Linked DNA regions of Neodiprion lecontei. The protein of the gene in region 1 interacts with the protein of each later gene in a biochemical or structural test. Links are inferred from orthologs where the notes say so. Each region holds a gene or a part of one and is shown on either strand. Other genes may lie near its edges. The genes, in order: DNA topoisomerase I, mitochondrial; E3 ubiquitin-protein ligase Topors.

Region 1 (5,213 bases):
ATGACATAAGATTAGTATGTTAGAATATACTGCTGCCAGCAACCAATGTTTTTGGGATAGGGAAGAATTCGCGAGAATATTGTAAGGGGAATTCTAGGTTAGAAAACGAAATTCCCACGCTATTATTAAGATTCTGAATTAAATTTCTATTATTTAAAAAATCCAGTTCGTGAATTTAGGTTAGATTGAACAGCCTTTGAATCGAAAATTCAAAACATTCCCGGTAAACCTATCACGAAGCAAAAAAAATTTAGTCAAACAGATGTCAAGCAGATTGGCAAACAAAAAAATAAATAATTGACAAGACGGAGCAGCATCAAACTGGACGAACAAAAAAAAAAAATGAATTATCAGTTCAGTGTTATCTAGTTATTGAAATATTGAGGAAAGAACACGTCTATCAAATCCTCTATATTTAATACCAAGAATAAAACACACAGAAATGTACAACAACGAACAACGTGCCATGCCTGACGACGTACCGCCAAGGATGGTTTGTTCCGGTTGCCAGAGTGAAGGCCATCTTTCCACTGAAAACACCAAGTCTATTGAAAATCTTGGAAGAGGCCAAACTACTGTCACTTTGTGTTAATTAATACATAACCCTGATTAAGTTGATTGAAACGTTTGAAACTTAGTGATATTACTGACAAATTTATATTGTCTAAATACCGAAGTGCTGAAATTGTAACGATGTATTAAAATTGAAACTGGATAGCATATGATATAAATATTTACCAGAGGCACATCCTCTTCAGACTCCTCCTCAGTTTTAATAGTAGTGTTGTGGAGATCAGAAAGTCTTGTGTCATTAGCATCTGTGGAATCCATAGTTGCATCTTTGTTCCACTCTTCCTCACCGTCATCCTCCTCTTTAATGTAAAGAGTCTGCTCCCCGCCGCTATCGTCATCGACATCATCATCATCATCAAACGTCTGCGTGAACAATGATGAAAATGCATAATTATTTAAAATTTTTTCAATAAAATGTGTGAGTCATAAACCATCGATAAACTCTGGTTTTATAAAAAAAAACTTTACGCGTAGATAAAAAAAATCAATAGCACCAATTATTACAAAAACATTGAATAACAGCTACCTCTTTTACCTGATGCTTGACAGGGTCAACTTGATACTGGTAATCTTGGTTCACCACTGGTTCTATCTTAGGCACCAACTCAGGCTCAGTTTTTGGTTCCACTTTAACTTTTGTCTCATCTTTGCTTTTATCTTTTTTCTCATCTCTGTGTTTAGCTGAAAATTTATTGTCAACTTGTGAGAACTAGGAGCAAAGAAAAGGTAAGTGTGACCATGCAAAAAAGGATTCAACAACATGTAAAACGTAAAATTACAAACTACTAATTTCATAACTCTTTACATCTTTCTTTGTCTTGGCGACGACGATCCTTGTCTTTATCTTTATCCTTGTCCTTATCGTGGCGATGTTTGTCTTTATCTGATGATCGATGCTTGTCCTTTTCAGTAGTTGAATGTGACGAACTATGCCTATCCTTGTCTTTATCAGAAGAATGCTTTCTATCTTTGTCCTTATCCTTTGAAGATGTTTTATCCTTGTCGCGAGAGCTAGAACTTGAGCTCGACTTGTGCTTCTCCTTCTCTCGCGAACTTTCCTTGTCCTTAGAACTGGAACTTGATTTGTGATGGTCCCTGTCCTTGTCTTTGCTTGAAGTTGAACTACTTTTATGATCTTTATCGCGGCTCGATGAAGAACTACTTTTCTTTTCTTTTTCTGACTCCTTAATTTTGTCTTTGTCCCTGCTGCTATGCTTGTCTTTATCCTGAAATTTTCAAGTCACACATCAATATTTGCAATGACGCGGTACCAAAGTATGTGAAAATCTAGGGAAAAAAAATAATACCAACCTTGGAGGAACTCGAACTGTGCTTATGCCGATCCTTGTCCCTATGTTCGCTTTTGTGACTACGTTCTTTGTCCTTGTCCTTACTTCTATCTTTATCTTTGTGCTCGGATTTCTGTGGGCGCTCTTTATCCTTGTCCCTATGCTCAGATTTGTGCTCTTTTTTGAGGTCATACCCATTGGACATGCCATTTAAATGGGAATCTAACAGTGAAGAAAAAACACACTGAAGCAATGTTTTGATAAGAGTCTGGTATTGGTTTATCGTAGGAACCAGAGTGGAACAAGATATGGTATATGCGATGCATACTATTGTTTTAGGATATGACCATAACTTGACAATAGCTTTAAATTAGAATGAAGACATCAATGTCAATGGGGCAGAGTTTATTTAAAGTGAAATACTTATGAGAAATAAGGGTACTGGTAAACAGAAAGAGCCAAGGAACAAAGAATCCTGTATTTCTCGATAATAGCCGAAACTATCGACAGGTTTTCGCATACGTAAAAAAGGAGGGAGGGGGAGTTCCTGCAACCGGGATACCCGTTACACGTAAGTACGGGAGATTTACGGACGAGCAGAGGTGATGCACGCGACGAACGAACGCGGCGTAGACATATGATGGAGTGTGCTATGAGATTCTAGTTGAGGGAACAGGAGTGCGGGGAAGGGGTATCGCAGCCAGGTAGAGGGTAGCAAAGGGGTGAGAGGATCGGGAATCTTACCTCCATGATTCCCGGCCGCACTGCTGTTCTCCTTGGCTCGTTTCTCCTGAAATTGAAACTGAATGAGATAATCAGAATACTTCATGAGCTTAGGAACGTTTGCAGTACGGAACAGGCCAAGCTGCGGGCCGACGAACGTTCGAAATAGCAACGTAAGGTCCGTAGATTGCTCGCAACATCTTGTGACATCGTGCTACGTGGGGACTTAGCCGCAGACGCCATTTTGGGACTTAGAAAAATTCGCGTCTCTCGTCGAGGTTGTCAAGAGAAAACCGACCCAACGGTCAATATATCGGAAAATCCGAGCACCTACGACGGTTCAAGAGATTGGAAACGAGGATGGTAGACACTTACCGGGTTGGATATTGGCTGGGAGGTGGCCTGATCGAGATCCATTAGTAACGTGCGACCGCAACAGATAAACGACACCAGACGACACTACGCGCAATGCTCTCGCTAAGAGCTCTGGGAGACAGACCGGACGAACGGCCGGGATGAACCTGGCAGCGTCTAAGTGCCCGAAACGCAAAACTGCGCATGCGCTTCTCGAAGCACACCGGATGAGTTCGGCAAACCTCGGTGGTACTCGGCCGAGTGCCAATGCCCTCGATTCAACTCCACTCGCCACGGGACATGGGCCGTTTCGCCTTTTCTTCTTCTTACTTTTATTTTTGTTTCTCCCCTTTGAGTTGTCTCTCCTCTACCTGGACTCTGCTCGCTGCCTTCCGGGCAAATGAGTGGATTTTATTAGGAACGGTTGGAACTTTTTTCGGATGCTAGTAGTTTCATGCAAGCGTTTCCTAGGCAAATTCATCAGCCGAATTTTTAATGCTTATTATATTAGTCGATAATCTGTTCAAAATTTAAAAGAAAATAGTTGTTACCGGCCGCGCCAATCTCTCACACTTGCATAGGTGAAAAATTATTCAACTTACCACGCATTAATACAATAATACCTTTAATTGGTATTCATTGAAATAAGTCATTGATGGTACAGCTAGATTATTATAAGTGTATAGAATTTTGTTCACTCAATAAATAAACAACGTGCTGGAGCTTTTTCTTATTGTATGAAAAATTTATTATTTTTAAGCCGCGATATTTCATTATATCTATATAATTTCGGGATTTTATTACAGATTAGAAACGATCAGATCAGGTATTGGCAAACAATAACGTTCTTCTGTCACTTGATTGTGAAAAAAATTCAAAAAAATTGAGAAATTTAGTTGATGATATCTAAATTTATAAATTATGTGGTTATAAGAGTATGATGAACAATTGGTTAGCTAGGCTTGTTCTGAGCCTTCTTCCCAAGTTATATGTCTATGCTTCTTCCCAGTACGGGCCAATTAGACAAAAACATTGTAAACCTTGGAATATTACATTTCGTTGCCTATAGATATTTAAATATAATAAAATAATTCCTATTGTGTCGCGTAGACAGTAAACCCCGCGAAATATAGGTATACCTACATATTTATCTTCAAACTTTAAAGTACTCAGGTTTTCCCTCTGCATTCCACGTTGTTTTCATCTTTTGAAAAGCAAATACGGCATACAAAGCTGTAATATAAGATAAGAATTTTAAGATGATAAATTAAATTTTTATTGTATACATAAATTGACTATGTTAAAGTCACTCACATGTCGCTTCCCATTCTGGTAGTGAAAGAGTGCCAATTTTTCTGTGTCCAGTTGAATTCTGCATATACTGTGCTGCATACCGATAGTCTTCGGGATTCTGACCGAGAAGAGGAGCTTCGTGACAAGGAGGATACGTCTCGAGAGCTCGCATTTTGCCAAGCAACGACCTTCCCTCACTTTTCATTCTTTCGTAAAAGTTCTCAAATCTGTACAGAAGAAGCATATTAATGTTAGCTTCGATGTCTCTTTGAATGAGATATATTTCTTACCTTTCAAACATAACAAGCTCCAAACCATATTTTAAAGCTAGTTTTGCGAGAGTTGGTAGATGTACAAGAAATTCTGGACAGTTGACAACCTCTTCCAAATGAAAGTTGTACTTGGCTCCAAACAATGGAGGTTTTACTTTGTCTTCGCATAGAAACTCTACACTGTATATGTCATTTCCAAACTTGTTGGTATCACTCTTTTGCCACCGAGATCTGTGCATAGACATAGACGAAAAATGAAGTATCAGCAATGTACAGCCTTCATTTCTGAAGAATCGATTTGTACACTTGTACTTCTGTTACATACACGAGGTCGTAGGCATCAGGTATAGTGCCAATAAAATATCCTCCCGGCCTCAGGCTTTCGCCTGCATTCCTGAGCATGCACTCAGCCTGCTGTACTGACTCAAAGCTGTAGTGGAATGCAAACTGACAGCTCACTAGATCGAGCTGACAGCTGGCATCCTTGTATTTTTCCCTCAGTCTAACCTGATATAACAAGTTTTTATCAGTCAATAACTAGGAAAAAGAATTTACGTGAACGAACCTTTGTGCAGTCGGCGGAAATGAATTCTGCAGTAAAGACTGGTGCGAATCCTCGATTGTTAGAACTTCTGTTCAAAAGATCATTGTAGCGACTCTGGCATTGCTCCACGGACACCTCAGCTATGTCCGCACAAATTAAGTGGGT
Region 2 (6,986 bases), on another chromosome or scaffold:
TAAATATAAAATTAAACAAAATTTTGAAGGCTTTTGATTTTATCCTTCAAGAGAATGCGTTTCTGTTTGTATAATTCTGTCTCGTCGCCGCACGTCATCGATTAATAAAGCAGGGAGCTTATCACTTTTGTATCACTTAGAAAAATAGAAGTATTGAATATTGCCATTACTTATACTCAATATTACTAACGTACGTTTACGAAATTACGACAGTTTAAACGCATGGTTTACTACTGAACTTTAAGGCCACGGATCACTAACAGGCCAAAACTGACAATGAATTCGGGAAGGCTCGAAAAAACAGGAATAAAATTAATTAGAAAAGTTGCTCCGACGTACTAAAAGTGTGCTCAAACATATTTCAAATAGGACTTTGAAATAGTGTGAGAAATTTTTTTGACGTATCGAAAATTTAACGTACATTTTTTTATGATTCACGGAATTCTTTCATTCAATTCTGAGCAAAAAAATGATTCAATTCGAAAACGTGTTATCGTTGTATTTTTTTTTTTTTTCGTCCGTATTTACTGCATAAAAAAGAAGAGGGTGGGGGGGGGGCCTTTAATAAAAATAGAACATAGGTGTAAGAAACGTTCAATTACTCTCGTGAATTGTGTATTCTATGATCACCCTTCAATCAATTATTTCCATAACGTATATCTATGAATTATGCAGGTCCTATTTTTGCTAGCGCACGCTAGCGTTGGGAATTATTATCAACAAGATATTTCATCTAGACATGATTTGTGAGAGTTAAATCTTGCCGCGCACGAACAGAGAACTGAACGTTAATGAACAAATTTGTTAATACATGTTTTATTCCGAGTCAGAGCTGGAGGACGATCTAATACGGCGTTTCTTTTTCTTGGACCTTGATTTAGATTCGCTCTTAGATCGTTTATGAGACTTTCTGGATTCCTTGTATTTTTTGTGGGATCTACGTCTCTCCTTAGAACTCGAACGTTTTTTAGAACTGGCATATCTAGATGAAAGAAGTGTGTCACTTCTAATGGATGAAGTTACAGATGCCGTTGAAACACTTGGTGTGCAATTGTCATCGGCCTGGAATGAATCTGTGACAGTAGCAGCAACAGTCTTGCTGTCGGATTTGCGACTTCCCTTTTCTTTTCGTCTATCCTTGTGTTTTGATTTTTTCTTACCAACATATGCTTTACTCGACCGTGCGCTGCAATAGCTACTTGAGCGACCATTCAACACATTCCTCTCAGAATCTGTCGTGCTGTAGTCGACTTTAAAATTAGCTTCTGTTAGTTTTTTACTTGACATCCCATTGTCTTCAAAAGAATTATATTCGTCGCTTTCACGCTTCTTTACTTCTCGCTCGGAATCTGAATCCTTGATCGAACGATATCTCTTCGATCCACATTTCTTGTTTCTACAAGATCTATGTTTGGGAATACTGGTGCTTCGTTGAGAGGCATCGCTTTCTGCACAATTTTCACTGCACCATTCTTCCTTTTTAACTAAGTCTTTACGAACTGTTATCATATTGGATATTGCCGATTTCATTAATTTGGATTTACCTTTTGTTTCCTGACGTTTTTTGTGCCGGTCTGGACTAGAATCATTCCAACTTGAAGAATATTCTCTCTTGTCACTTTCTGGTGATATTGACACGGGTTTGAACATTCCATCTATGATCCGGCCTTCAGATTCGCTGCTACTTGAAATCAATGCTTTAACACGACGCTTTATTCGAACAAACATATTCGTACCCCGCTTGTACTTTTGACCATGTACAGGACTTGTGGCAATGATTGACTTCTTTGTTTTGTTCTTTGATCCGTTACCGCTGTAGGGAGTATAATCCCGATTAGAATCGATATCATCACTCTCCGACGTCGTTGTGTCAGAAAATCGTTTTAAGGATGCCAGAGTATTTTGAGTTGAGCTTCTTTTCCTATCCGTAGAAGTCGTAGCCTCGTTAACTTCGCTTAAGGTTGATACACTCGGCGAATCAAAAGGAGACCGATCTATACAATCTTCAAATGGTGGACATTGTTTTGTCACAACTTGACAGTTATGTCTAGTATGCTCGCTAAAAAATTGTATCAATGATCAGCGAGGCAGATATTCAGCATTAAGAAAATGGAAATTTCATATAAAATTCTAAGCAATTGGCGTAAGAGACACAAGACTCACCTATAGTCTAAATTGGGAGCATCAGGCACATTCACTGTGTCAGCATCCGATGATAATAGATCGATAACTTCTGGTGTTCTTTCATGCCGAGGCTTCACATACCCCACAACTTCACATTCATTATCTGATATTCCTGATGAGCTTGACGAAATTGTCAATACAATATTAGAAGTTTGTGCAGTTTCTCGGAGTGCTTCGGCTACTGTACTTGGACCTTGAGAGAGAGGAAATGCAAGATTAGAGTAAAGTATTACATGAAATCACAAAATATATGCAAGCATGGGCAAGGAAAAAATGTATTATTATTGAGTTTCCCAAAGACTGTGTTAGTCAAGGGTAGATACTTATGTATGTACTTAGTATTAGACTACATACCAGGCATCTCGACTGTATGCGGACCTATTCCGAGCATCTCAATATTCATCCGACTTGCATCGATAGTTTCTTCAACAACTTGAACATCTGAATCAGTAGATATGCTGCTGCTACTAGAACTGGGTGATGATACGACAGGGACATATTCGTTGGACAAACCTGCGACACATATGACATATGAGGATGTCCAAAATCAATTCAGGTATTTCCACAACTATTCTCCGACGAAAATTGTATACAATTTGACCTCATCGGTTATTCTGTTCGCCAAGTTAAATTCTGATACGGAAGTCCAAATGGCCATTATTATTCAAAATAATTTTACACCTTGATATTCACCGAAAGACGTGAAAGACTATAATCCAGTGACCAAAGAGATGTTTTCCATAGCTACAGATATGTAGCGGATTTTAAAGTCCAACAAAAAGCTACATCAATTGGGTAAGAATGCGACAGTAAAATTGTTCAGTTGAAAATCTTTTTAGTTATGTGACTATAGAATGTATAAATTTTGTTGGAAGAAGAGATAGAATTTGAATGGTATGAACCGGTGACATTAATTGGCGGACAATTTTGCAACATGCAACCTTAATCAAATATACTAACCACGATTTGAAACATAGGTAACATATTGATCATAACCAATCAAGTCAAAACTGGTCTGCGCGTAGTTGAGTAGCTCATGGACAAAGTGCTCGGTGTGCATGGCAAAGTAGGGACGAACTGTGTCTCGAAAGTCGGAACTTCTCAAGTCATGCCGTGTGATAGATTCCATGATAACACGCATCACGTAACTTATTTGCGGAGCATTGTTGTTAAGCAATACTTGCAGTTCGCGATTCAGCCAAGGAATCAATCGATTCAATTGGTTTGGGTTTCGCCTGTAAAATAGATCAATACAACACATGTCTTAGTATCCTGGTAAACATTGAAATTTAATAAAATTCCAAAACTAAGTATTTTGGACTTTGTATCTAAATAATTAAAATAATCTTCAGATTTGAAGTCATGGAAATAAATGGTAGGAAAAAGTAGGAATTCAAAATTGAAACTGTAATAATTCATTTTAAATAATACAAGTAAAATGCGAAACATAAGCAGTGTAACTTACCGATAGTATTCAGCACTGCATTCCCTAAAGTTTCCAAATATGTCTGGTAGAGATGTCGCCCAATGTCCAAAACGATACACATTGCGCCGATAGTCAATAGGATTAGTACGTCGCAGTCTTCGTTCCTCTCTAGTAACTAGTGACGTAACAGCAGGTAGTTGTTCATTCCTCATAACTTGTTCGGGATTTAAGATATTTCGGTATCGATGATTAGGTGTCATTGTTGTACTAAAACAGAAGGTTGTCAATAAAAACGATTTCTAGCATTCAAATAAATACGTTCTTGAACGACATGTAAATAGTTTTCTAGCGGGAACCAGGCCTTATTGTTTTGGCAGCATATCATATCCATATTAAATATATTGTAGGAACATGAAGTTTTTTCTGTGCAGAACGCTTGATTGTGATTTCAAAATTATTAGCTGCCATTGCCAGTAACCGACAACCAAGAATGAAGAATCTCTCTTTAGCTAACTTACCGGTAACTAAATCCATGTGTTTCCCTCGGCAGGTTTATACTGCTGACCAGATCAAAATGAACATCCACTGTTGCAGCCATTTGTGACGCAGACAGTGAGACAAACTGACGGGGAACATGATATTGATCATAGTCGCCCTCGGATCTAACATTATGTATGATGGATTTGAAAGTTTGTTTACACAGAGGGCATTCTGTTTTTATTTTCGACCACTCTAACAAGCAGCTGAAACAAAACTGATGCAAGCAGCTGTCGGTGAAAGATTTGTTGACGAGCTTGCCCAAGCAAATGCTGCAATTAGGTGGAGGAGACGTGGTGCCGTCACTTCGCTCGCTTGGTTCATTGTCTGGGCTACTTGGAGATATTTCTTCCGTCTTTAGCGGACCCTTTGGAATAGCAGCGGCGGCCGCACGTATGCTTTCTATTTCTTCATCCATTTTGCGTCAATTCTTTTCGTGGTCCATTGGTCCTTGCATTACCTTTTCCTGTATTATGCACACAATTAAAGATATTATGACCCAAGTGTGGATAGGTCCAGCAATAAATTACTTGATTTGAAAAATACGCAGTACTGGATGATGGAAATGCAAATATCTACAGATATTGTTTACGATTACTCTCTTTATACTGTAATGTACAAAGGGTATTGTATACAGCACAGTTGATACTATACGCGTAACTGCCTACTTATATCAATACAGGCAGAATCTTTTGGATTCCGAGGCAGAGAATATAAATATTCAAAGCCGTAATTAAATCCACGAAAATTTCAACTCCCAATCAAGCTGCCCTTGAGTAGTAGCTTTGACTGAGGAAAAGTTAAGTGATTAAAACTGTGGAATAGCCGAAAGGTAACGCATCACATGACATCCGCTCACCGTTAAAATGTTGCCTACCACCGAAGGAAATGCGACAAGTTACGTTGACAATTAAAACTACAATCAGTAGCAGAGATATGAAAGGGCTCAACGCAGGCACCGACTGCCATCATCGGCTAATTTGATCATAAAGCTCGCAGCTGTACCAAGGGCGTTAACTGGTTATTACTAACCAGCCAACCATCCGTGCTCCAGCTGCACTGCCAGTCGTGGTCACATGATTCGTGTGGAATTGAACTCGTATTTTGTTTCAGACCGAAACAAGATAGCCGAAAGATTAAAGCATTTATGCATTTCACTGTATTCATATTTACATACATGCATGCCGATAAAGCAATATGTCAACCGTTTAATTAAAAACAATGCAAACAATGGACTTTTAAGAATTCCCATGATTTAAGGAATTCCCTAAATCTAGTGGATTCTTCATACTTCAGTCCTCACATCATGATAGTCAACCGATTTGAAGTTCGATGGAAACGCAGTATTAACATTCGATCGTGAGCACCGTGAGCACGGTCAGCCCCACGGTCTTACATACAGGTCTGGAAACTCCATTGGAGGGGGTATGTCGCTTATTGAAGCAATTTCTGTGTTCACTAGTCGCCACTAGGTTCGTTGCGATCTTATCAACAGCGTTGGCGGGGCCGGGGGTCCAGACAAGGCCGTGGTATTCGCATATATGTATATGAGTATTCGCTCACTCACGCTCACTCATCGTATTTATTGAGATTATTGTTATCCTGGTAACTAGACCGCAGCGACAATTGGTGGTGCCGCTAGAATCGAAATTTGCACTCGTTAAGCGACACGAATAATCGTGGCTCCCAGCATAGGAGTTTCCAGACCTGTATATAAAACCGTGGTCAGCCCCTTGACACTCACCGCTGCTCGTATACTAAAAAATTGTACGCGTTTTTTCCCTATTTTTTAGTTCCTCTATATTTAGATAGATATAGATATATACCGATAAAATAATCTGCGCATCGAAGTTTTTGACAGTTCATAACTCAGTGTAAAGTGTGTAAACGGTGGATCATCTCCACAAGATCTAAAACTGTCTCAAAAGTTGTGAGCCCTCGCTTGATGTTTATGGATTTTATTGACTTAAACATTTGAGGATTTCGTTAAAATAAAACAATTATCACGCCCGCCATGGAATGCTAGTAAACATCTCAATCATTTTTTATTCGCATCTTTCTTCATTTTTGAGTGTTATTCAGGATTGTCGATTCCGAAAAAATTGGCTCACCCCGAGGGGGCAGCGCTGCAGACGGCGAAGACGAGAACCACGGTTTTGCCTCATTATCTGAGTCATTCCCCCACCCTACTAGCAGAGATGAGTAGGGAGATCTCCAACGCTCGGCTTTTCGTGATACCAGCTAAGTTGGAGCGTCGACGTGACACCTAGGCGGCCACGCACCGAAGGTGGCCCATTTCCGACCTGACATCAAGCGGCCATGCACCGAAGGTGGCCCACAATCGTGTATATATAGATACACTCGGCTGCTCGAGCAAGTGGTTGCCAATCGCATCCTTGTCCCCGCTCGCACAGATGTTTCCAGGAATGCAAGAATTGGGATTTTTTTTGTTTCAGTTATGAATGTCAGCGAATAAAAGTATCTCCAGATTTGATAAATCTTGGAATCAATTAGCGGACGCTGAACCAAATTAGTTAACTATTCCCAGTCCGAATACTTTTTTTTTTTTTTTTAATACATATTATTTTTTTATTGATATGAAAATATGTGACGCCTGGTATTCTCGAATATTTGTGCACGCAGTCTATGGAAAAATATACGAAGCCAGCTCGATAACATTTATGCAAAATGTGCAATGGGCAAGTGGTTGGGGGAAATTTTTTTTTTTTCTCGAACTGAATCTTCCAGAGAAGCATCAGCGAATTCCAAGCAAGCTCCATAAACATACCGAGCAAACGCGCGCTCACGGACGTAGCTGTGGTGTGGCTGAGTGGATACC

Evidence for each region.
Region 2: of the proteins of DNA topoisomerase I, mitochondrial (region 1) and E3 ubiquitin-protein ligase Topors, one has a biochemical effect on the other in vitro, tested with the Homo sapiens proteins (2 studies listed by BioGRID). The link is inferred for Neodiprion lecontei from reciprocal best matches to the Homo sapiens genes TOP1 and TOPORS.

What each region holds. Positions count from the first base shown.
Region 1 is NC_060261.1:35,201,153-35,206,365, reverse strand, and holds the start of DNA topoisomerase I, mitochondrial, read right to left. Parts: upstream 3,127-5,213; 5' UTR 3,003-3,126; coding exon 2,961-3,002; intron 2,653-2,960; coding exon 2,607-2,652; intron 2,085-2,606; coding exon 1,885-2,084; intron 1,800-1,884; coding exon 1,379-1,799; intron 1,255-1,378; coding exon 1,100-1,254; intron 937-1,099; coding exon 739-936; intron 531-738; coding exon 483-530; intron 1-482. Other genes in the region: mRNA cap guanine-N7 methyltransferase, read right to left, coding at 4,093-4,172, 4,254-4,459, 4,523-4,735, 4,830-5,011, 5,070-5,213. UniProt on the Homo sapiens protein: Releases the supercoiling and torsional tension of DNA introduced during the DNA replication and transcription by transiently cleaving and rejoining one strand of the DNA duplex.
Region 2 is NC_060260.1:41,194,113-41,201,098, reverse strand, and holds E3 ubiquitin-protein ligase Topors, read right to left. Parts: upstream 5,170-6,986; 5' UTR 5,007-5,169; intron 4,918-5,006; exon of another isoform or gene 4,816-4,917; intron 4,614-4,815; 5' UTR 4,566-4,613; coding exon 4,129-4,565; intron 3,878-4,128; coding exon 3,650-3,877; intron 3,420-3,649; coding exon 3,145-3,419; intron 2,698-3,144; coding exon 2,539-2,697; intron 2,378-2,538; coding exon 2,164-2,377; intron 2,060-2,163; coding exon 817-2,059; 3' UTR 560-816; downstream 1-559. UniProt on the Homo sapiens protein: Functions as an E3 ubiquitin-protein ligase and as an E3 SUMO1-protein ligase. Probable tumor suppressor involved in cell growth, cell proliferation and apoptosis that regulates p53/TP53 stability through ubiquitin-dependent degradation.